Linked DNA regions of Mus musculus. The protein of the gene in region 2 interacts with the protein of the main gene of each other region in a biochemical or structural test. Links are inferred from orthologs where the notes say so. Each region holds a gene or a part of one and is shown on either strand. Other genes may lie near its edges.

The links.
Region 1: the proteins of Eif2ak2 (region 2) and Tarbp2 form a complex in vitro, tested with the Homo sapiens proteins (2 studies listed by BioGRID, with this or other methods). The link is inferred for Mus musculus from reciprocal best matches to the Homo sapiens genes EIF2AK2 and TARBP2.
Region 3: of the proteins of Eif2ak2 (region 2) and Eif2a, one has a biochemical effect on the other in vitro, tested with the Homo sapiens proteins (4 studies listed by BioGRID, with this or other methods). The link is inferred for Mus musculus from reciprocal best matches to the Homo sapiens genes EIF2AK2 and EIF2A.
Region 4: the proteins of Eif2ak2 (region 2) and Dnajc3 form a complex in vitro, tested with the Homo sapiens proteins (2 studies listed by BioGRID). The link is inferred for Mus musculus from reciprocal best matches to the Homo sapiens genes EIF2AK2 and DNAJC3.
Region 5: the proteins of Eif2ak2 (region 2) and Prkra form a complex in vitro, tested with the Homo sapiens proteins (3 studies listed by BioGRID and IntAct, with this or other methods). The link is inferred for Mus musculus from reciprocal best matches to the Homo sapiens genes EIF2AK2 and PRKRA.
Region 6: the proteins of Eif2ak2 (region 2) and Dhx9 form a complex in vitro, tested with the Homo sapiens proteins (2 studies listed by BioGRID, with this or other methods). The link is inferred for Mus musculus from reciprocal best matches to the Homo sapiens genes EIF2AK2 and DHX9.

The regions. Positions count from the first base shown.
Region 1 is NC_000081.6:102,516,878-102,520,991, forward strand, and holds the start of Tarbp2 (RISC-loading complex subunit TARBP2), read left to right. Parts: upstream 1-1,314; 5' UTR 1,315-1,672; coding exon 1,673-1,725; intron 1,726-1,775; exon of another isoform or gene 1,776-1,967; intron 1,968-2,244; coding exon 2,245-2,414; intron 2,415-3,597; coding exon 3,598-3,700; intron 3,701-4,114. UniProt on the Homo sapiens protein: Required for formation of the RNA induced silencing complex (RISC). Component of the RISC loading complex (RLC), also known as the micro-RNA (miRNA) loading complex (miRLC), which is composed of DICER1, AGO2 and TARBP2.
Region 2 is NC_000083.6:78,865,573-78,869,072, forward strand, and holds part of Eif2ak2 (interferon-induced, double-stranded RNA-activated protein kinase), read right to left. Parts: intron 3,236-3,500; coding exon 3,185-3,235; intron 866-3,184; coding exon 743-865; intron 1-742.
Region 3 is NC_000069.6:58,553,321-58,556,820, reverse strand, and holds part of Eif2a (eukaryotic translation initiation factor 2A), read right to left. Parts: intron 1,287-3,500; coding exon 1,170-1,286; intron 249-1,169; coding exon 183-248; intron 1-182. UniProt on the Homo sapiens protein: Functions in the early steps of protein synthesis of a small number of specific mRNAs. Acts by directing the binding of methionyl-tRNAi to 40S ribosomal subunits.
Region 4 is NC_000080.6:118,936,624-118,940,731, forward strand, and holds the start of Dnajc3 (dnaJ homolog subfamily C member 3 precursor), read left to right. Parts: upstream 1-1,308; 5' UTR 1,309-1,465; coding exon 1,466-1,547; intron 1,548-4,108. UniProt on the Homo sapiens protein: Involved in the unfolded protein response (UPR) during endoplasmic reticulum (ER) stress.
Region 5 is NC_000068.7:76,645,057-76,649,267, reverse strand, and holds the start of Prkra (interferon-inducible double-stranded RNA-dependent protein kinase activator A), read left to right. Parts: upstream 1-1,411; coding exon 1,412-1,476; intron 1,477-1,973; coding exon 1,974-2,143; intron 2,144-4,211. UniProt on the Homo sapiens protein: Activates EIF2AK2/PKR in the absence of double-stranded RNA (dsRNA), leading to phosphorylation of EIF2S1/EFI2-alpha and inhibition of translation and induction of apoptosis.
Region 6 is NC_000067.6:153,477,661-153,481,160, reverse strand, and holds part of Dhx9 (ATP-dependent RNA helicase A), read left to right. Parts: coding exon 1-29; intron 30-2,179; coding exon of another isoform or gene 2,180-2,182; coding exon 2,183-2,295; intron 2,296-2,971; coding exon 2,972-3,120; intron 3,121-3,500. UniProt on the Homo sapiens protein: Multifunctional ATP-dependent nucleic acid helicase that unwinds DNA and RNA in a 3' to 5' direction and that plays important roles in many processes, such as DNA replication, transcriptional activation, post-transcriptional RNA regulation, mRNA translation and RNA-mediated gene silencing.

The DNA.
Region 1 (4,114 bases), on a different chromosome or scaffold from region 2:
CCCTCCTCCCCCCGTTGCCCTCCACCGGACCTGGAGAGCTGTCACCGGCGATGCTCGTGTGGAACTCAGGTGTACGGGTGTCAGCCCCAGCTTTTAGCCCCCACCCCCTACTCGAAGCCCCGTCCCCACTCGACTTGAACTCCCGCTCCTTCCAAAGCCCCCGCCCCTGGCCCCCCGGGACGGACACGCCCTGAGCGGGGGATGCTGCGCTGGAGTCGCCGGCCTCTTAAAGGAGCCTGTGGCTGCCATCCGGCGCGATCCAGGCTCCTTCCTGGAGGTGTTCTACGGCAGTTCCACTTTGGTCCTCATGCGGAATCTGTAGGATCCCCTTGTGACCTGTCTTACAGATTCTTTCCTACACCCCGAGAGCGCAGTCCATCAGTATACACAACGCTCTGGCACTGGTCCCTTGTCATACCGACATCTCCAGCTGGCCTTCCCTCGTCGCTGCTCCATTTTCACCCAATTGGAATCCACCCAGCCGTAGGTCCCTTCCCACTTCTGTGCTCCTGGATGACCGATCGCTCGTTTTCATTACTGATTCCTCTTACCTCTAACCCTATTCCTTTCTAGCAAGACATCTTATCCTAGACCCATTTTAAAAAACACTCTTTGAATCACGTTTTTCGTGGTATCACTTTCTCCTTCTGTCCAAGGTCACAAGATTTCCCATATTTCTTTCACTCTGGTGGTATCAAGGCTTTGGAGAGCCAAAGGTAATCGTTAAGCTCTGCGCGTATATTAGTTCGTTAATTATTCCTGTGCTCTTTCAGGTGAGACTAAACACAGAAGGTCCATCTAATGATTCTCGGGACAGTTAAAAGAGGTTCACTAGGGCTGATCTAAAGAGGCACGAACCCTGTCAGGCTGCGTGGAGTTAGTGAAGAGAGGCGAAGGACAAGCCACAGAAAAGCAACGGGTTTTTTGACACGGAGTGCTGAGAAGCTTACGCTACAGCCTGGGAGACCGGGTCTGAGGAGAACTCCGGACTTATAAAACCCCAGAGCTCTGGGGTGGGGGTGGCCAGGTAAGGCACACCCTCTGGGGCAGCAAAAGGACTTCGGCCAATCACAGCCTTTCCTCAAGGAGAAGGCTACACCTTTCCTCGTCTCCGCCCTCTGGGCCAAGTGACCAATCTGCAAGCGCCTACAGGAAGTCGCTCTCAGTATAGCCAATAAAGCAGCGAAGCCCGCAGCGGCGCCCGAATGACGCGCTGGCGCCTGGGTTCTGTAGTTCTCTCAGGGAGACAGACCTTACCGCCCCGCCCCTGGCCGCCTACACGCAGCTAATACGCATGCTCACAGTGTCGGCTTGGGAGGAGGCGGTGCGCAAGGAGGAAGGCGGGAATGACATTAGGAAAAAAAAAAAACCAAAAAAACAAAAAACCCAACCCACTCGTAGTAGCTTGGGAAGCTTCCGCCGAGGGTCTGCTCCTCCCAGAAGGCGGTGCAGATGCCCGGGCGAGTCTCGCTGAGGGTTGTGGGGCGGGTAGCTCGGATCCATAAGAAGACACAAGGAGCCGAGTGGGCGGGGGACTCCAGATCCCAGCATGCCCCGCGGCGGGCCCTACCGGCCGCGACTCCGGGCTTGGCCCCGGCCCTAGCTCCTCGGCGGTGTACTGGGGTGCGTGGAGGCTGTAGTCACGGTGGCGCCCGCGGGGACGGAGGAGGGAATGAGTGAAGAGGATCAGGGCTCCGGCACTACTACAGGCTGCGGGCTGCCCAGGTGAGCTGCCTCGCTTGGATTCCTGAAGGACGAAAAGTGTGAGGTGGTGAGGAGGGGCGGCGGCGCGGCCCCAGCATGCACCTGGCCTGAGGGTTGTTCCCAGCAAGCACTGGGGTAGTGGGCAGAGGTTCCCGGCATGCACTGGGGCTGTGGCCAACGCCTCCAGCTCTAGTTTGGGGTTGGCTTGATTCCCAGACTGCACTAGAGCCCTGGGCTTTATGCCCCGACGTTCAGTGTATTTGGTGGGTACTGGGTTCCCGAATTGTATTGTGTCGGGGGAAATGCACGTTCAACCAGCACCACGGCACAGGATCCCTCGCCTTAACTGAGAACAGTACATTCTCCACTTGCCTTGGGACCTTGCTTTCCCTCATGCACCTTAACTTTTAACCCAGCCAATGGATGCTATACTGCCTGGGAATTCATGGACCCTATAATGTGGCTAGGTCTAATGTGACAGTGATTTGCCAGGTGGGTGCCGAAAGGGGAAGTGTGATGTTGGTCTGTGCCCCTTCCCAGCATAGAGCAAATGCTGGCCGCCAACCCGGGCAAGACCCCGATCAGCCTTCTTCAGGAGTATGGGACCAGAATAGGAAAGACGCCCGTGTACGACCTTCTCAAAGCCGAGGGCCAAGCCCATCAACCTAATTTCACCTTTCGGGTCACCGTTGGCGACACCAGCTGCACTGGTGAGGAAGGCCTGGGCAGCCTGGCTGGGGTGTGCATTCACAGGGCCCGTGGCTTAATATCATGCGATCACCTCACAGTCCTCTCCTTTAAAGCCAGGGAGGGATGGAGATATTTCAGGGGGAAAGAAGGATTGGAACAGGGCTGTGAGACGGTGGACGGGACCCGAGAGACTCACTGGCGAGAACAGGAAATGTCACAGAGATCTGCTACTTTATCACCCCAGAGGAAGAGTAAATGAGACATTGAACTCCTCGTGGGTATTAGGGGGAGCACATACTCTGCTAGCCTTCATGCCTCACATTGAACACGAAGAACTTAGTATGAGAAATTAAATGGTAGGCTCCAGTTCACATGTAATAAGTGGCAGAGCAGAGCTTTGACTTCAGACCCTCAGTTGTCTCTATTTCCTATTTACCGAGGGAAGAGAAAAGGGGAAAGAAAGACAGAGCAAAACATCCCTCCGCAACCCACCAGTGTTGGAGCTCAAAAATCCTGCCTGGCACAGTTTCATTACGGGAGCTGACTGAAAGAGGAGGTGTTCAAGGCCCATTTCTGTTGCTGTAGTAAGGCTCCGAAACTAAAAGCAGTTTAGAGGAGGAAAAGGGTTGATAGGTTTACAGTTCAGGTTACATTCATGACTAAGGGAAGCTAAGGAAGAAACTCACATTATCAGTCAAGACCAAAGAAAATAATCTGATTCTTGCTACTTCTGACTAAGGAACTCACTTCACAGCCACAGAAGCACAGCAGGAACAATGGCAGATACTCCATGCTGGCTGGCTGGCTTATTTATACTCTACTAGATTTCTTACACAGTTCAGGACCACCTGCCTAGGGGTGGTACCACAATAGTGGGCTGTGCATATCAGCATCAATTAACTATCAGTCCATCCCCCCCACCCACCCCCAGACATGCCCTCAGGCCAGGCTGATGTAGGCAATTCCTCAGTTAAGGCTCTCCTTTCAGATCCTTTTAGATCCTAGGTTGTGCCAAGTTGACTGTTAATGCTAACTAGGAAAAAGGCTAGTCCAACAATTAGTAGAACCCTTCCAGTTCTGACAGGGGAGGTTGGTCAGAGGGCTCTTCTCACTCCCTCTGGCTATGAGGAGATAGGCTGTGGGGGCTGGTTTCTCTGCTGTCCTGCCGGTGACCTCCAGTATTGCCCACGCCCCTTTTCTTAGGTCAGGGCCCCAGCAAGAAGGCAGCCAAGCACAAGGCAGCTGAGGTGGCCCTCAAACACCTCAAAGGGGGGAGCATGCTGGAACCAGCCCTGGAGGACAGCAGGTGAGGGAGGAACAGCCAAGGCACACTAGAAGCCCGCTGAGAACCCAGGCCTCTGCACTATCTACTTCTCTCCCTAAGCCTGGTCTGGTGACTCATGGCCACCCTCTCGTGGCCCCTTCCTGAGAATTTCCTCTGAAGCTGAACAGGGTGTTTCTAGAGTGCCTCAGAGTAATAGCCAGCCCCCTTTGATGGGTGGTGGCTGCTCTGGGGCATGAGAAAAGGGCATAGGGGGTGGAGGCAAAGACTGATAAAGTTGGTCCTGGCATGCCCCCTCTTTCTAGCAAGATGGCTTTCCCTCTTCCACATTCAGGTTGCAGCTTGTTGGGTAGAAAGAGACTCTTTTCTGAGCCCCCACCCTAACCTCAGTGCTTCTGAGCCAGTGTGGGGTCAGCAGAGGATCCCAGGAGGAAGAGC
Region 2 (3,500 bases):
TCAAAAGGGAAGAAAACTGAATGAATAGTAAAGCCATATCCCAAACCACAGCTGTTCTCATTCTCAATGTATAAGAAGAAGACAGAGGCTTAAATGGTAGCTATCCAAAGGTATGCATCGTTTGCATCTCCTTTTGACTGTCTGTAACAGTTTTCAATAGCTACATCATGGTTGATACTCTGTTGAGAAGATGTGTTAAAATCTTTGAAGTTCACAAACAAGTCCCATTTGGGCAGCAAGGGTAGTCAACCCAAGCAGCAAGCAGAGCCTAACTTAGAAACTTCACTGTGTGACAAACATAAATCGAGGGGCTTAGTTTATGCAAAGAAGCCAAGACTCTGTACAATGAAAGCTTTACAGCAACAGGGCTCAAGAGCTAAGACACCGTGCGGTTTTCCTGAAATTAGCCTGTGGCTCTTTTTAGGTCAATGTGATACAAGTTTGAAACATCAGAGAGGAGGGAGCCTCAAAATGGAGAAAATTGAGGAAACCTCCTTAGACCAAGTTAAGTCAACAGCTTGAGGTTTCAGCACTATCTCAAAATGATACAGTCATATTTTAAACTGAAATAAATAACCAATGTTAGTAAGGTAAGGTCATTTCAGGATAAGTCAAACTCTTGTAGTCAGGAAAAAAAAATCAAGGAGGACCAGAAAGAAATTAGCAGGCAAAGAAGGATAGGCACATAAAGGCGAGAGCTGGGAGTTCAACACACTGTTCAAAGAGCAAGACAGGTACTCACTCCGTGTTATATTTAACGCGCTTAATAGCGTATCTCTTTCCATCAATTCTGTGTTTCGCTTTGAAAACTTGACCAAATCCACCTAAGCCAATTTCTTCTATGTCTTCAAAATCGCTGTTAAACCTAGATAAGATTGATATTGCTGTTACCCTGAGGTTCAGTGTTTCATGTATGATGAAAATGATTCTTCCCTTATTGTTTTTAATAATGTCTGCCAGAACTCCTGAGTCACAAAAAAACATCTCCCTCTTCCTTTTTCTCTTGACCTCCCATATTAAACAGAGAATTCAGTATAACAGATCACCCCCTCTGGCTGTACATGATGAAGCATCCTCTCTAGCAGCTACAAAGAAGAAATGAACCCCACCTCAACAAGTATTAAAACGAATCACTCAGTTGTACGCCACAAGGACCACAGAAAAAGCACAAGCCCAAGGTTGCCTATAGCGACCTGTTTCTTTCCCTCCATTTCCCCATCTCCCATCCTTAAGGCCTGCTAATTCTTCCAACCTGCAGCACTCCCATCTGCTGATGTTTCGTCATTTCTGGCATCCTTACTCCAGCTCAGCCATCAGGCCCCTACAATGGTGGCTTGCTGACTGACACCCAGCTCCTCCTACCCTAATTTAGCTGTGAAAACTTAGTCTGATAGTGTCTCCCTCTCCCCTAAACCTTCTACAAACCTTACCTTTGCATTCAGCAAAACCCAGGAAACCCTTAAATGCCCAATAAAATGCAACATAGCATGTCCCCAGTTCTTTCTCCAATTTCATCCCACTACACCTTATTCTTTGCATTGCACTTCAATGCAATTTTTCTCTACAAAAAGGTGACCCTAGGGCTATCTTTCCATTTCTTACCATACTACTGTTCTTCTTTAACTCTGGCCATATTTTGTAATTACAGCGTATGTGTGTCATATAAATATGTGAATACTGATCACGTGGGTATGGTTGTGCACATGTATGTGTGTGCATGTATGTGTGCGTGCTTGTGTATATGTCTGTATGGTATGTGTGTGCATGCATGTGCGTGCCACATGCCAGAGATTGGTGACAGAGGTCTTCCTTAGTTACTCTCCACCTTTTTTATTGTTTTGGTTTGGTTTTTGTGACAGGGTTTCACTGTGTAGTCCTGGCTTCCTGAAACTCTTTCTGTAGCTCAGGCTGGCCTTGAACTCAGAGATCTGCCTGCCTCTGCTTCCTGAGTGGTGGAATTGAAGATGTGTGCCACCACACCCACCTTGCACTTTCCTCTTTTTTTTCTGTTATAAGTTGGATTTTTTTATACTTTTTAAAAATTGGATATTTTATTTATTTACATTTCAAATGTTATCTCCTTTTCCAATGGTTTCCCTCCTACAGATCCCCATCCTATTCCCCCTCCCCCTGCTTCTCTGAGGGTGCTCTCCCACCCACCTACCCACTCCAGCCTCACTGCCGTAGCATTCCTCTACACGGGGGCATCGAGTCTTCATAGGACCAATTGCCTCCCACTGATGCCCAATAAGGCCCCTTCAGCTCCTTCAGTCCTTCCCCTAACTCCTCCACTGGGGTCCCTGTGCTCAAGCCGATGTTTGGCTGTGACACACTTTACTTTTTGAGGCTGTCTCTTTTGTTGAGGTTGGAGCTCACTGACTGGTTATGCTGGCTGTGGATCGCTCATCTCCATTCGGCCACCATTGAGAGTTCTAGGTGTGTGCGCTACTGCACCTGTCTATTTATAGGGGCACTTGGAATTCAAACGTAGGCCCCTCATGTTTGCACAGCTGAGCCATCTCCCCAGCCTCTGAATATACACGTGTTTAATTATAAGTATTTCCTTAATGCCAGTGGCCACCTCCAAATTTTTTCAGAGAAAGAGTTCTATTTTATTTGTTCCTACCCTAAGCCACCAGCCCACAACAGTTACAGGTAAGGGCTAGGTGCTTAATAAGCATTCAGAATTTGTTCACAATGTTCCGCTGCCGCACACCGGCTTCTTGCATCTTAGGTGTTTCATTTTTAACTGAACCATCATCTACAGAAGGTGAGCCCCCTTTCCTTTTTTTTCCTAGTGAAGTCTTGTGTGAACAAGCTAGAGAACAGGCCCACGCTGACTTGTGTCCATCCCCACAGGCATTCCTCTCTTCCCTCCACACCTATCTTCCTCCCTATCCTTTCTCTTCTCTATTTATTTTTCTTCCAAATCGCTGAAAGTCCTACTTGCTTTTCAGTTTCAACGGCATCCATGGATATCAGAAAGCCTGATAACATCACCGAGGTCTGCATCCGACACGTTCCACTTGGATCCCTAAACCTCACTTCTCTGAGAGACCATAACCCTCCATGGGCCTGCCTATGCCACAGCCCACATTAATTACTTGGGTGGAAATACAACTCATAACCTGACCCTAAGCAACGGTTTCGAGAGTGAGCTTACCATTAGACAAACTCCGCTTACCTGGCGTCCAAGGTATATTTATTTCTTTGCACATCATCAGGGGATACTTTTCTAAAATTGAGACAAAAAAAAATAGAAAACTAAGACAAAACAACAACCTATAGAACTTTAGAGCAGGCTCCGCCCCACGCACCGGCCAATTTCTATTTTGCATCAGTCATCAGAGGGATAGGAAGAGACTGTTCACCTTCTTCAGAATAAACACTTCCTTTTGATTCTCTTCCATTCTTTCCTGCATCTCACTCCTGCATCTCACTTTTACCTGAACATGCGTGCCACTGGCATGCTATCACCTCCTTTTTCTTCAGACTCAGAA
Region 3 (3,500 bases), on a different chromosome or scaffold from region 2:
TTTACCTAACCCAACAACTGTCAGTACTTCTACAGCGACAGCATCAGGACCCCTGGGGAACGGTGACTCAGCACCACAGTCTGGACCAGTGTGCATGCTTTCTCTTTCTGACTGAAGGGTTGCCTATATTAAATAGGACAGGGTGCTAACGACTCTGAACCAAAGGGAAAGCGAGGGCTTACCTGATTTTTTTCTAGCTGTTTCCCGGCGGCTGCCTGCTCTTTTAGCTGCTCTATGGCTTTCAGTTTCTGTGAAATCAAAAGTGGGGAAGGAGAAGGAAGAAACAGTTACTTTCTATTGCAGATTCTTGTATTAACAACAACCATACTTCATTTCTCTAAACAATGGTTTGCTAAAATGCAAGGATAAATTCCTGTTAAAAGTTAAATATAAAATTATAGCTTAAATACATGGGGCTGTGTAAAATAGGTTTTGCAAGTTTTTGTTGTTTAGTTATTCTGTGCTAAGCTGCAGGACATACATGGAGGGCAGGGGAAAGCTCTGTGGAGTCTCTTCTCCCTTTCTTTTCATCTCTCTGGGGGTTTTCGGAGCAGGCTTGGGTTGTCAGGTTTGCATGTAAGTTTTTCATCGATGCTTGAGTGTCCAGGCGTGGACTCATGAGTGTAACACAAATGCAGCGTCTATTTCAGACCTCCACAGTGGCTGGGCGGTACCTTTGCATTTCAGAGAAGCCTCAACCCCAGACCTGCCCTTATACACCATAAGCTCCCTTTTGTGTGTGTGCTCCTTAAAAAACCTGGAATAAAGTATTTGTTTATTTGATATAAGGTATTTATTTCATTTAATAAATAAAATTTCTCTTGTAGCTCATGAGATGCTGAGGTAAATGTTCCAGGCTGGGGATGTGGCTCAGCAGGAGAGTACTTGCTTAGCACGCATGAGCTCTGGGTTCACTCTCCAGTCTCATAGCCTTCTCTACACAGATGTGTCCCTATCATTCCTCATTACTTCAAAATTAAACACTTAAGTAGTTTCCGACATTAAAGATTGGTGAATGGAACTGAGCTGAGGTCTTTTCTCAATTACAGTATTTCTATAGAAAGAAAGCAACAATGAGCACTGTTACCAACTTCTTAAATCCCTGTTTTAAGCTCCTGAGCTCCACTCTTAATTCTCGTGCACATATCTGCTTTTCATTCAAGCCTCACCTTCTTTAGATTCTTAATTTTTTTGTCTACTTCAGGATCACCAGAAGCAGACTGGGTGACCGTGTTCCGTGGTGCACTCTGTGGGACAGGAGTAGGAGCCGCATCACTTCTTGCTTCCTAAAGGAAACCAAATTTGCACATGTATTTATTCTCTCCAGGTACCTGAGAGGGTCAGTGGGTCAAGCCGGACACCCTGAGTTCCACCCCAGGCCCCACACGGCAGAAGGCGCTGACTCCTGAGCACAGCCCGCAGGACCTGCTTCTCTCCTCCCACTCTGGGGTCTCTGGGGTCACACGTGAGCCTGACCTATTAAAACATGTTTCCAGAGATGGAATACACTAGGTGCAAATGGGAACAAGCATGTTCTAATTTCAAATTTTAGACAAGCATACTGTAATTCTCCCCTTTGAAACATAACTGGGGTAAAGATGCTTCTTGCCAAGTCTGAAGCTTGGAGTTGACCCCAGGGCCCAGCAGGGGGAAGAGAGCTGGCCCCTTAGGTGGCCCTCTGACGTCACTGTGGTGCACTTTCCTCCCAGGGAAACACCCCTCCAGGAGGGCGGGGGAGACAAATGGCCACAGATCTAGGAAAGCAGGGCCTGAAGGTCCCTCCCAGCTTCATAAAATGAACTGCTGGATAAAGACTCTGACCAGCCAGGCTAAAGAGAAGATTTTAGACAGGGGAGCAGGCTTGTAGGTTTTATAATTCATCACCCACATCGGGGTGGGCTTTGCAGTATCTGAAAGGGAGCTGCTTTTTGAGCCATTCTTGCTCCTTAGAGGTAAACCCCTTACCCACAGTCCTGCTATTATCCCCAGTAAAAAGTTACTAGTCTGCCAAGTTGGACACTGGCACAACTGTTACTTTGGCTGTTGTGGGGTCTGTTTCCTGGGCTGAAGAGGTGTGTGCGGCATCTTCCCAGGAAAACTCTGTCATGAATTCCACACGTGTCTGTGTGTCACAGGTGCTTGCTCAGACAAGTTCAAGGTTCAGAACCCACTTTAAAAGCCAGATACACATGACAGGGAGGATAAGAGGAGACAGCAGCATCACACTCTGAGGCCCACGAAGGGACCGGCTAGCCTGGAATATATAGCACAGTGGCAGAAACAGGGACTGCCTGTTCAACAAGGCTGGAAGGCTGAAAGCTACACACATCCAGACTGCCACCACCCAAAAGGACTAAGTGGTCCTGAGTGCACGGGATTAGTAAGTATCTTAAGAGGCTTTATGTCCTCCACCATAGGCGCACACAAAAAGGAAGTCCTTCCCCAGAGAATGAGTCCACCAGCATCTTGCTCAGACTCCAGCCACAAGATCTGTGGGTGATAGGCTTTTATTGCTTAGAGACTATCAACCTAAGGGAGGTATTTTGATCTAGTAAGTCTAAATAGACTAAAGTATCTGCTCTGTCTTAACCTCTAAAATATGGTTACCCTGATCCTGTCACCAGATACTCTTAATGCAGCTGGACACAATATCACCACGAACCAATGAACTGTATCACTGTAATTTACATCAATTATTACAAGTACATAATGTCTTTTGTTTAAGTATTGACTTAGTTGGGTTTTCATTCCTTTTCTTAACTTTCTTTTGGAGCCAAAGCCCCGCCTGGCCTGGAGCTCATTAAATATCCTAGGCCAGGCTGAACTCAAACTCCGAACAACCCTCCAACCTCAGTCTCCCAAGTGCTGGGATGGCAGGTATGAACTGCCCATACCCAGCGTGCGCTCGCTCTCGCTCTCTCTTCTCTCTCTCTCTCTCTCCCCTCTCTTCTCTCTCTTCTCTCTCTGGTTTTTCGAGATAGGGTTTCTCTGTGTAGTCCTGGCTGTCCTGGAACTCACTTTGTAGACCAAACTGGCCTTGAACTCAGAAATCTGCCTGCCTCTGCCTCCCAAGTGCTGGGATCAAAGGCGTGCGCCACCACTACCCAGCTGCCTTTGCCCTCTCTTAATACACATGTCCTTTGAGGAAAATAGACACTCCATCAAGAGTCTATAGCAGGGGGCTGGAGAGATGGCTCAGCATTTAAGAGCACTGACTGCTCTTCCAGAGATCCTGAGTTCAAATCCCAGCAACCATATGGTGGTTCACAACCATCTGTAATGAGATCGGATGCCTTCTTCTGGTGTGTCTGAAGACAGCCACAGTGTACTCATATACATAAAATAAATAATATCTTTTAAAAAATTAAAAAAATAAAAAAGAAGAAGAGTCTATAGTAGGAAACACTACACAATCCCATTGAAAGCTCAGGTTTCAAGGTCAGGTCCAGTTTGTCCTCAAGGTAGTGCTACTAAGATGTCGTAGAGCCTTCAAGAGGTGG
Region 4 (4,108 bases), on a different chromosome or scaffold from region 2:
AATAACAAACCCACGTTATTTAGCGATGTGTAAAACGTTGCTGCCATATAGTGTCTGTTCAAACAGAGCAGCTATGGGCGTAACCTACCTGATTAATTTAACGACAATCTTGTCCAAGTTCTTATGTCTTTGAATGAAATAGGCACAGTAAAGAAACCCAAATAGACACTTGGTGGGTGTATAAGAGAAAAGTTTATTCCAAACTAAGGTCATTGCTTGGGAAAGCAGAGGGCTAATACTGAAGACTGAGCAAGTAATGGGTAGGGACTTTGTTATGTAGGGTGAGCTAAAGGCACTGGAAGCATTTTAAGGATGCATCAATAGATACTTAGTCTAGGGCAGGAAATAGCCCCAGAAACCATTAAGCCAACCTAAAAAAAAAAGTGATTCTGGAAGTTTCTTTGGCGAGACTGAGAGGACTGCGGATTTTAAGAGAGCCACCCAGACCAACTGTGAGACTTGGTAGAATGGCTCTTGCATCTCTGATCCACTAGCAGACCTCAATAGTGTCAGGTCCCCCAAGAAATTCCTTTCCCCCAGGTAGGGCATCTAGACAAAAGCCAGCATTCCCTCGGGGTGGTGGTGGTGGTGAAGATAGTTCCTACTTGCTAAGTGGAGTTATTCTCCTATCTCTGGGAAAAGGGACATTTGGCTCTTCCATTAACTTATGACAGTGGGGTCTATTAGCCCGTCAAGGTCCCATATAACCCAGAAGATAAATCCCCACCATCACCCCAGCCCGCGCAGCGCTTCTCTCTGCTTTCCCGAGAGACAGCCTTCGCAGTTTGGAATAAACTTTTTTTTTCCCCTTTTCACCCACGGAGTGGCTATTTGGGTTTCTTCCCCCATTTCATTCAAGAAGTCCAGTCATCTCTCTCGGACGTCCCTGGAGACTTCCTGAGACTCTCTGGCCTTACCAGCCCAGGCGGCGGCGCCTTATCCCCCAACACTACCCGAAGGAATCTGGGCTCGCTCCAGGAACCCGCCGCCCCTGCCAAGCCAGCCCGCGAGGCCGGCCCAGAAGGGCTCTAGGGCCCGCGCATGCGGACTCGGCGGCCGCAGCCCGGCCTCCCCAGCCTCTTCCTCCTCGGCGCTCGGCGGCGGTTTGGAGCCCGCTGACAGCTCCACGACCAGCGGACGCAGCCTCGTCTTGTGCTTCCACGTTATCCTATCAGAGGCGGGGCGGGGCGCCAGCCCCCACAACCAATCAGCGCCAACCACGACCCGGGCGAGCTGGGCCGCTCTGTGGCCAGAAGGAAGGCGATTGGGCGGCGGCGGCGCCCGGGGCGTGGCTCCGCGGGCCCCGCCTACCGCTGTTTTCCGCCGCCGGGCGCCAGCCGCCGCTGAGGCCCGAGCGCTGACCGAGCGAGCGAGCGAGTGGACGGGGCGCTTCGCTGCGGGCTGTTGGCCGCGCGGGCTGCTGGGCCGCGCACCTTCCTGCTCTTCGGCTCAGGCGCCCTTGGACATGGTGGCCCCCGGCTCGGTGGGCAGCCGGCTGGGCGCGGTGTTCCCGTTCCTGCTGGTCCTGGTGGACCTGCAGTACGAAGGTGAGTCCCGCCCTGCTCCCGGGGCGGGCTTCGGGTCCCGGTCCCGGCTGGGAGCGGCGCTCCGGGGCGCGAGGCTGGGTCCGAGCCCGGTTCCGGTTCCGTGGGCTGAGAGGCGGGACTGGCGGGCCGCGCGCGCGAGGCCGGTTTCGGCGGCCTGGGCCAGCGCAGCCGGGAGTCCGGCGTCCGGGGGACCCTGGATCGGGGGTGCCGGGAGGAGGCGAAACGGCGGCATGCACGGGACGGGTCCCGGTTCCGGAGTGGCGGGCCAGGGCCCTTTCCGAAGCCAGTCCCATTCCCTCACGACCCCGCGTCGGGCGCGCAACTTAGGCTGGTGCCTGGAGAAGCCCACCTCTGGGCTCGGAGCTCCCGGCGCCTAACTTGCTGGGCTGGCTGTGGCTTCACAGTTCCCAGCAAGGCGACATTCAACTTTGTCCCCCCACTGACGTTACTTTTTCTAGTCATCGCAAAAAAAAAAAAAAAAAAAAGTCTCTTAAAAAAAAAAATAGGGAGCGCTTACGTTTCACCCTGGGCTCCAGACTGGAATGTTGGCTACTCCCAACAGAATAGCAAAAAATAGAGGCCTGTCCTATCTTGGGTGTCAGAGCGGGGAGGAGTTAGACATTGAAGCCCCAAATGCCCACTGAACTTCCCAACTTGGTTACGGTGCTGTAGTGACATCTGTCCTGGGCACTGCTCTGTACTCATTCCTGTAAGTCTGGGGATAGTTGTCATGGAAAGAGTAAACAGTTGAATATTCCATTTGGAGGGACTGAGGAACTGAAATTGGGAACAGTTTATGATGAAACCATCATAGAAGTCTATGCGGGTTTCTTTCTTTCTTTTTTTTAAAGACATATGCTTAGGTTTTTAACCATTAAAGGTATGGTTTTTGTTGGTTTTGGCTTCCTGATCACCATACGTTCTTTGAACCCCAAATCAGAATGTGTACTGTGGCAATATTGAGACCAATAATTTGATGTTGGAGCCAGCCTCAAAAGTGAGGGGATTGGAATTTGAAGGCCTGGACCACTTTAGTATGGGTCATATGTTCTAACTTTCTTTCATTTTCTAATTCTTTCCATCTGCATTGATTGTGCCCAGTTATCATTAGTGACTTATTTTAGTAACTTAAGGGAAAGTTGTCTATGCTCTACTTAGTGTCGATTTAACTTACTCTCCAGACATGGGAGTGCTTATTTTTGTTTGCCTTACCTCATCCAGGAGCTTGTAGATCAAGCACCTTATTCGAGTTTCTGTTCTTTGCAGGATTAGGACTTTTAGCATTTCATCTCTCTACTGTGGTATTTCTATAAGAAAACTCCGAGTTTTCCCGTCAGGAAAGCACCAGTGGCCTCTCTGAGGAGAAAGCCAGTGTTGCTTTTCCAGGAGTATTACCTGTGCAGAATGGCAGGTGATGGAGAAGGAAAGAGCATTTCTGTAAGCCAGCTCTTATTCCACAGAGATATGTGATAGTCTCTGTGTTACACATCTGGGAGCTGGTGTTCCAAGAGCTTAATGAAAATTTATCTTGGGACTGGAGAAATGGTTAGTGTGTTTGTTGGCCTTGCAGAAGACTGGAGTTGCATTCCTAGTACCAGATCAGGATGCAGTGAGTTAGTTGTAATTACTCACAACTCAGTCTTCTGGTTCCACAAGCACCCAAAGAGGGGTGTGTGTGTGGGTGGGGGGTGGGGAGAGAGGGAGAGAGGTGGGGTATGAGAGAATGAGAGAACACATGCACACACATGAGCCCTTGTGTGTGTGTACACAGAGTAAAGAAAATCTTTAAAAATAAAATTTACCTCTGTATGAAGGTGGGAACAGGAAATTGTACATAGCATTCACTTCAAGCATTTTAAAGTCGGACGGCCGAGCAAAATCAGCCTTTTAAGTTAGCAATAGAAAGTGACAGGGGGGGTGGTTTCCTGGCAGGCTCAGTGTAGTGGTCTTCCCAGGTGTGCTGGCTCATACCTGTGATTTCAGCAATCAAGAAGCTAAGGCAGGAGGATTATCATCAATTAAAGAGTGTTAGGCCACTCTGAGCTACTGTTTACTTTGTCTAAAAACAAACCCAAAACCAAAAGAAAACCCAAGACCAAACAACCCTCCCCTAAACAAAACAGAACAAAAACCAAAAATCCTCAAATACCAAAACCTGCTTTTCCTCCCAAAACAGTGGTTCTCCAGCTTGATTGTATACCAGAATCTCACATAGAATACTTGTAAGAGTTGGGCACACTTACAGAACGTCTGATTTAGTAGGTCTTGATGGAAAGTGAAATTTTCATTTCTGAGAGGATCCCAGATGACCACATTTTGAGAATCACTGGTGTAATAAAGTATCTGTAGGAATTGAATTAGAGGTTATGCTGTTTGTTAGAATTGGTGATGAGGTTATTAAGATACAGAGTAGCAAATTGTTAGCTTCTGTTTTCTTAAATGGCTTAGTTATATCTGGGTCCATTAGCCTCTGTCTTGAGGAGGCATGCAGGTCAGGTGCTGCCACACTGCACTTAAGGCTGCAGAGAGAAGACATAAGGGAGAGTTCTGTGAGAACAGGA
Region 5 (4,211 bases), on a different chromosome or scaffold from region 2:
ACAAACAAACAAACAAACAAACAAGCAAACAAAAAAACCTTTTAGGAGTCTCTCAGTAAGAATATTTCTAGAATTCAATTCTAGAGCATTAAGTAAACACAGGAGCCATTGTGCAAATAGTTCACAAATTCTAAGACGCTCTGAAGCGCTAACACACCCACAACATACTCTGTAGGTGGAGCGTTCCAGGTTAACGTCATCACTCTCCATTGCACAGGTCAACCGGAAGAGCAATCCTGGAAACTGGTCTAAATATCCTTGCTATGCACTCCACCTCCAGCATCTCTTTGGGGATCCCACATGTTCCCAAAGCAGAGGTTCTAAACCTGTGGGTTGCAAGTCCCCTGGGGTTGCATTATAGTAGCAAAACTACAGATATGAAGTAGCAAGAAATAATATTATAGTTGGCGAGGGGGAGAAGGGGTTGTCACCACGACATGAGGAACTGAATTAAAGGGTCACAGCATTAGGAAGAATGAAAACCACTATCCTAAGCAGGTCACAAGAGTCCGCCAGACAGCAGCGGGCCCGCCAGACAGCAGCGGGCCCAGGGATCCAGGGCTCTTAAAGCCACTGGCTGCCCCTTAGCTGACGCTCTCGGGTCTCAAGTTTCGGGGCCAAGATCCACAATTTTCTTAGTAATTTACCATTCGAATTTTTAAATCTTTCTTAAAGTAGTCCAACCCTTAATCTTTTTTCCTTGCTCCTCAAACATGCTAGGCTCGTAGCCTACTACTAGCTTTCTCGCTGAGAAGGAAGCCACCTCCCTTTAAGGACAAAGGACTGAGGCTCTCTGCACCACTAAAGGCGGGAGGGGAAACTCGGGGAACCGAAGCGGGGTGCAGGCAGGAGCCGGGAAGAGCCGGGACATGCAATGGAGGCGGGGCCTAGAAGGGTGAGGGGCGGGGCCGGGCGCTCAGAAGCTTTGGAAGCGGAACGGGGGGTGGGGGGAGGCGCCTGCAGAGGCTGGGAAGAGCCCGGACTGGCAGAGAGGGCGGAGCCAGGTCGCAGGAGGGGCGGGGCCGGGCTCTGAGAAGCTCTGGGAACCCAACTAGAGAGCGGGCGGTAGCTGGGAAGGACAGAAACTTGGCAGAGAGGGCGGAGCCCGAGGAACGGGAAAGGGCTGAGCACTGTGGCAAAGTGGAGCAAGAACATCGAGGGGCTGAGCATGGCAGAGAGGGGCGGGGCAGAGAGGCTGGGCAGAGAGGGGGTGTGGCCGGCTCTTCCGCGCCGAGGCCCCGCCTCTCCTTCCTTCTCCTCCTGTCCCTTAGCTGGAGGGAGGCAGGCAGCGATTCGAGGGGCGTCCAAGCGGCAGCGCGGGCACGCTCCTCTCGGGAACTGGCCGACGTGGAGAGGGAGGACCCAGATCCACACTTCTCTTGATTGCTGTGGCCAGCCGTCCCTTCTCGCCATGTCCCATAGCAGGCATCGTGCCGAGGCCCCGCCGCTGCAGCGCGAGGACAGCGGGACCTTCAGGTCAGCGCCGGGCCGTCGAGGCCTCAAGGCCCAAGACGGGTGGGCAGCGGGGCAGGGGCAGGGAGCCGGCTGTCGGGCAGCATTCTGGGTAAAGCTCCCCCCTCTCCCGGCGTGGCGCTGGGCCCGCCCTCCGGGCCCTGGGGGTCTGCTGCGCGCCCCGCCCCTCTAGTGACCCTAGGCAGCTAGCCGATCGGGAGGACTTGATCAGTGTTGAGGCGCAGACCCGGGTGTCTAGCTGCCTAGTCCAAGCCCACCCGATTTCTTTCAGCATCCCTCCCACCGCTCTCAAGTTCTCTGTACAGACCTCTCCACTCTCCTCCATGGGCTGCAGCACCCGGGGACAGGTGCTCGCCCAGGCCTTGCCACTGATCCTGGCCGCTGGGGAGCTGCAGAACCTTTTTGTCACCATTTGTGACTGTCAAAACTGAGAAGTGGATGCTTTTGCTTCCCTTTCAGCTTTGACGTGCAATGCCTACGTTTTTTTCTGGTTTTTGCAGTTTGGGCAAGATGATAACAGCTAAGCCTGGGAAAACACCGATTCAGGTATTGCACGAGTACGGCATGAAGACCAAGAACATTCCAGTTTATGAATGTGAAAGATCCGATGTGCAAGTACACGTGCCCACTTTCACCTTCAGAGTAACCGTTGGTGACATAACTTGCACAGGTCTGTATGCAGTTAATTCCCCATGACCATGTGGATTGGAGGCCCTGATTCTATGTTGCTTTTCAGTAAGGAAAAGCGCCCTTTTAATTAAGATGGCTGTGGGAGTGTACTCTGAAGACAAGAGACTCCAGGATCAACTTCATTTGTTTCGCTCCCTAGTTCTGTCTCGCTAAGATGTAAGGAAGCTCAGACACTCCCAGCATCCTGCACACTTTCCAGTACCTGGGGAGCCGGCTAAAGTTCCTCTTAAGAATTAAAAACTGGAAATATTCTTGGAGCTCCGATAGCCAAGTCCGTGGGTGCTATCGCCTTTCAAAGTTACAAAGTTACCAGCGCAGAGGCTAGTAGCCACGCCGTCAGAATTTTCCGAGTTTCCCTTTTTATGGACACATCTGGAACTTCGGATTCTTGGTACCTACCACGCTTGAGTGTGTGTCCATGAAAAATCAGGGAAACATAGAAGACTCCCATACTGTATTCCTTCAAGCTGCAGCGCACAGTAGCTTCTAGTTCTAAATACTATATAAGTATTTTGTATAAAATTGTTTCCTCTTTTTATTCATGAAGTGGCAACTTTAAAAACCTTTTCATAAGCTACATGCCCAAGGTCACACACCAATGAAGTTTTAAAGTTCAGATTAATGCCTTCTTTTAGTCTAAGCCTGAGAAAATGGTTACCAGAGTTGCCATTTGTAAACGTGGACATTATTTTCCTACATACCTATTTAGCTGAAAGCATAAAAATTGTTAAATAGTTTAATTTGTAAATATACAAAGAAAAATTAGAAAAAGCTAAAGTTCCACTGTCTGCTAGTCTGAGCATATCATATATTCAAATATGGGGACCTGAGGTTGCCTATATTTATTGGAGCAACTTCAAAAAAAACCTGAAGCTTTTTAAATGTTTGTGTGTGGGGTAGATTGGTTGTAAGTATGCACTGGAAGTTTCCTTATGGAAATACACACGGTTAGAGTTGCGTTGCTACTTTAGCTGGTCATTTTTCAAATATTTGGGAGAAATGTTCAAGAAGAAAAGCCATTTTCCATTTTAGTGCATTTGGGTTAGAGATGAGCAACCTATTTCAACTGCTCTACCTTAGATCCCTCTCATACAGCCCTGTCTTCCTGTCGTAACTTCTCAGCCTTCCCCGCTTCAACTACTATCTAAAGACTATAATTCTGGAGGCAGGTGAATTTCTGAGTTCAAGGCAGTTCTGGTCTACAGAGTGAGTTCCAGGACAGCCAGGGCTATACAGAGAAACCCTGTCTTGAAAAACAAAACAAAACAAAAAACAAACAAACAAAAAGACTGTAACTCTGAAATCTTTGTCTTCAGCCAGGAACAGACATATCTGCCTGTGTGCTTTCTGGGCATCTTTGCTTGGGCATATTAGGGAAAGACATCTCAGACTCTTGTCCTGAACTCAACCATCTTTTCATTTAAACTCATTTTTCTTTCTTACATTCCTTTTCCCCCCGCTGGGAGGCACCAGAGTCAGTTGGTCAATAGAATTTTGAGGTTGTCTTGCTGACTCTGTCCTGTCCCCTTTTCCCCCTGTCTTTGTGTCTATGTTGCCATAAATCCCTGTCTTCTGGACAACTGTTGAGTCAGCATCTCTCTTTCTCTTGCTACCTGTGCTCTAGAACAGTAGTGGTTCTCAACCTTCCTAATGATATAACCCTTTAATTCAGTTCCTCATGTTGTGGTGACCCCAGCCCTAGAATTATTTTGTTACTACTTAATAACTTACGAAATTACATACTCCATTTTGTAGCTACTTCATAATTTTGCATGAACCATAGTGTAAATACCTAATCCTTGGAGTCAGGGGAGGTATCAAAACCCACAGGTTGACAACCTCTGGTCTAGACCATTGTTATCTTTCTCTTGGACTAAAGTTCCTCCCATCTTGTAACTGCTCTTTCAACTTGGAGTCTTGTGGTGTGCATTCTCTTCACAACAGCTAGTGTTTTTCGTTGTGTTTTTGAATCAGAGACTTACTATGTAGCCCAAGCTGACCTTGATTTTTATTTTATTTTATTTTCCTCCTGCCTCAGCCTCCAAAAC
Region 6 (3,500 bases), on a different chromosome or scaffold from region 2:
TCCTCCTCATCTGGCTCTCAAAGCAGAAGGTAAGGGACTTGAATATATGTACTTAATGGAGGATAACACAGTCATGCTTGGTCACCTCACCTTGTCATTTGTATAGAGAAATCAATAAACATGTTTATTAGGTGATCCCATTCAAGCAGCCACTGTTTTAGGGTTTGTTCTGTTTAAAAGATTTAAATTTATAGCTGTTTTACCTGCAATACTTATGGGCCACCAAGTGGGTTAAAGAATTTTATGAGTTGCCTTTTATATGGCTGTGTATCAGGCTTAGAGGGCTTTGCACATATTAGATACTCTGTGGCTGAATTTTGTATTACATCCACCTTTTGTTTTGCCCTACCTGTATACCTGTAATAGGATTTGTGGATTCTAGTCCTGCTGAAAATTTTATTTGGGTTATTAAGAGCAGAGTAAGATTTTGACCAGGTTTCTAACAAATACTGAAACACAATTTACAGCATCTATCCTATTGTTTTGACTTGAACAAATTATAAAACTATATACTAATCTGTCACTTTAGAGTTCATGCATATTGATGTTTGCCTGCAGTACCTGCGGAGGCCACAAGAGGCCACCACTCCACAACTGGAGTTAAACCTGAGCCTTCATGGGTACTGCATATCAAACATAAGTCTTGTAAGAGAAACCAGTGCTCTTTATCTGCTGAACCATCTCTTTTGCATCCCACTCTGGTTTTATATAGAGTCAAAACTTTTAGGGGCTACTAATTATTAGTCCTGGGGTTAGCTTTCTTTTCAGAATTAGGTTTTGTGTTTCTGTTTTTATTTAGGCTGTAATTTGGAGAATGAATTTACACTTTCAGATTCTCCTGTTTCTACTTTCCCAAAGCTGGGCTTCAGGCTTGTTTACCACACCCAGTGTTATTCTGTGGTGAGGGTTGAACCCATTGCTTGCTTGGTGCTTTGTAGACATCCTAGCATTGTATTAAACAAACTTCATTTTCAGCATCTCTAAATGTTTTACTTAAAAAGATGTATTGCTTTTGGGCCAACCACGGTGGCATACTCACCTTTAATCCCAGCACTTACTTGGGAGGCAGAGGCAAATAGATCCTCATGAGTTCAGAGGTGTTCTGGTCTACATACCAAGTTTTGGTACAGCCAAAGCTAAATAATAGACTGACCTCCCCTGTGTGCTTACATATTGTATTTGAGGACCCCCCCCTTTTTTTAATAGCACAAGTGTATAGAAGACAGGACAAAATACATTCAGCATCCAATATAGACTCAGATTATTAGGTTCATACCTTTACCAGCTAGACATTTCCTAGTCTGGATAGTTTTGTGCTTTGTTATTTATGTATAAAAACAACTGAAATAAGTATGTCTTAAAGTACACATTAGGGGGCTGGAGCGATGGCTCAGCAGTTAAGAACGCTGACTGCTCTTCCAGAGAGGTCCTGCCTTCAATTCCCAGCAATAGCATGGTGGCTCATGACCATCTGTAATGGGATCTGATGCCCTTTTCTGGTGTGTCTGAAGACAGCTACAGTGTACTCATGTACATAAATAAAGTTTAAAAAAAGTACAGATTAGTGCTTAGGAGAAACTCAACCAAGTATGAGTACTTGTGTTCTGTACCCCACCAGCATCCATATTGTGTAGACAGATGGTTCTGTGGGAAAGTTGGCCTGCTAGGTACCTAAATATGCTAGCCCAGTGAAAAGCTGGTCAAATGAGAAAGGGTTTATTTATTCTGCTTTATAGTCCATGACAAGATTGAAAGTGGCAAAAGCGTGGACAGCTGATCACCTGGCAGAGAGCAGGGAATTTGTGCTGTTAATTGTTAGTTTTCTATTTTCATTATCCAAGCAATGGGACACTTACAGTGTCTTATCTTCTCTCATTAACCAAGACAATCTCTAACAGACCATACTACCTTGGGATTAAGAGTAAAGTTGCCAGTTAACATTAATTATCAGACTAAACTACTTGACTGCTTCCTGGAGGTTACACTATGGCTTCCACATGCATAGACATAGACAACCATAAATAAATAGGCTGACCAATACAGTCCTGATTATTTCAGATGTCCTTGCAGATTATTGAAAACCTGTATACAAACATGTAGTCAGGGACATTTGTTAAAATATGTAGCTTTCTTCCCCCAAACTTGGTTAGTTAAAAGAGCAATTTTCTTTTTTTAATAGCAGAAAATAATTCTGGAGTTGAGTCTTCTGGCTATGGCTCTCCTGGACCTACTTGGGACCGAGGAGCCAACCTTAAAGATTACTACTCAAGAAAGGAAGAACAAGAAGTACAAGCGGTGAGGAATCTTACATAGTGTTAATTTACATTTTTGAAAATGCGACTTGGGATTTATTTCACAGCAGAGTTGAGTACCTATACAAGTTAATAGCACATTGAGTTGTTGATTTGTTTGTTTTGAGACAGTCTTCAATCCCAGGCTGGCCTTCATTCCAGTGGCCCTAGCTAGAAAGCCTATTTTACTAGTTGGTTGCATAACCCTGGTGTACATGCTTGTAGTCGCAGCATTAAAGAGAGGGTCAGGAGAATGACTAGTTCAAGGCCAACCTGGATTATAGTGTTCTAAGAACATAGTGATATCCTATCTCAAAAACAGGCTCAGGCTGGAGAGATGGCTCAGTGGTTAAGAGCACTGACTGCTCTTCCAGAGTTCCTGAGTTCAAATCCCAGCAACCACATGGTGGCTCACAACCATCCGTAATGAGATCTGACGCTCTCTTCTGGTGTGTCTGAAGACAGCTACAGTGTACTTATGTATAATAATAAATGTTTAACAAAAAAACAGACTCAGTGATAAAGTGGTTGACTAGCCATGTTCAAACCCCTGGATCTCAGCACTACAAAAATAAAAATCTGACTTTATATTGAAAAAAAAAAACCCAAACTGTACATTATTATTGTACCTTATGTAAGTGTAGTAGTGCAGCCAAATTTACTCATCATTGATTCTACAGACTCTAGAGTCAGAAGAAGTGGATTTAAATGCTGGGCTTCATGGAAATTGGACACTGGAAAATGCTAAGGCTCGTCTGAACCAGTATTTCCAAAAAGAAAAGATCCAAGGAGAATATAAGTACACCCAAGTGGGTCCCGACCACAACAGGTTTGCTTGTTTCACTATTTTCCTTGTAAAAAGTTAAGGTGGTTTGACTTTATGCTTATTAATTAAATGTTACTCAGTTAACTGTGTGCATCAGCAGTGAATTGTAAAAAGATAAATATATAAGAATTACTGACTTGTAGTTTACCATACTTTTTTTAAAAGAATGTAATGCTATTCTATTAGAAGTCCTGCAAAAATCTGTTGCTGAACTTTGATGTCAGTTAATATCTACTGTGGTGGTTTGCTACTAGTTGACCTAATTGGCCGGAGGCGGTGATCCCTCCTCCCGCCCAAGTGTAGTTATTGGCGATATCTTTAAATACTTAAATGGTTCTGGTATGTTTTGTTGTCTTAGAAGTAGATTGTATGTATTACCTATA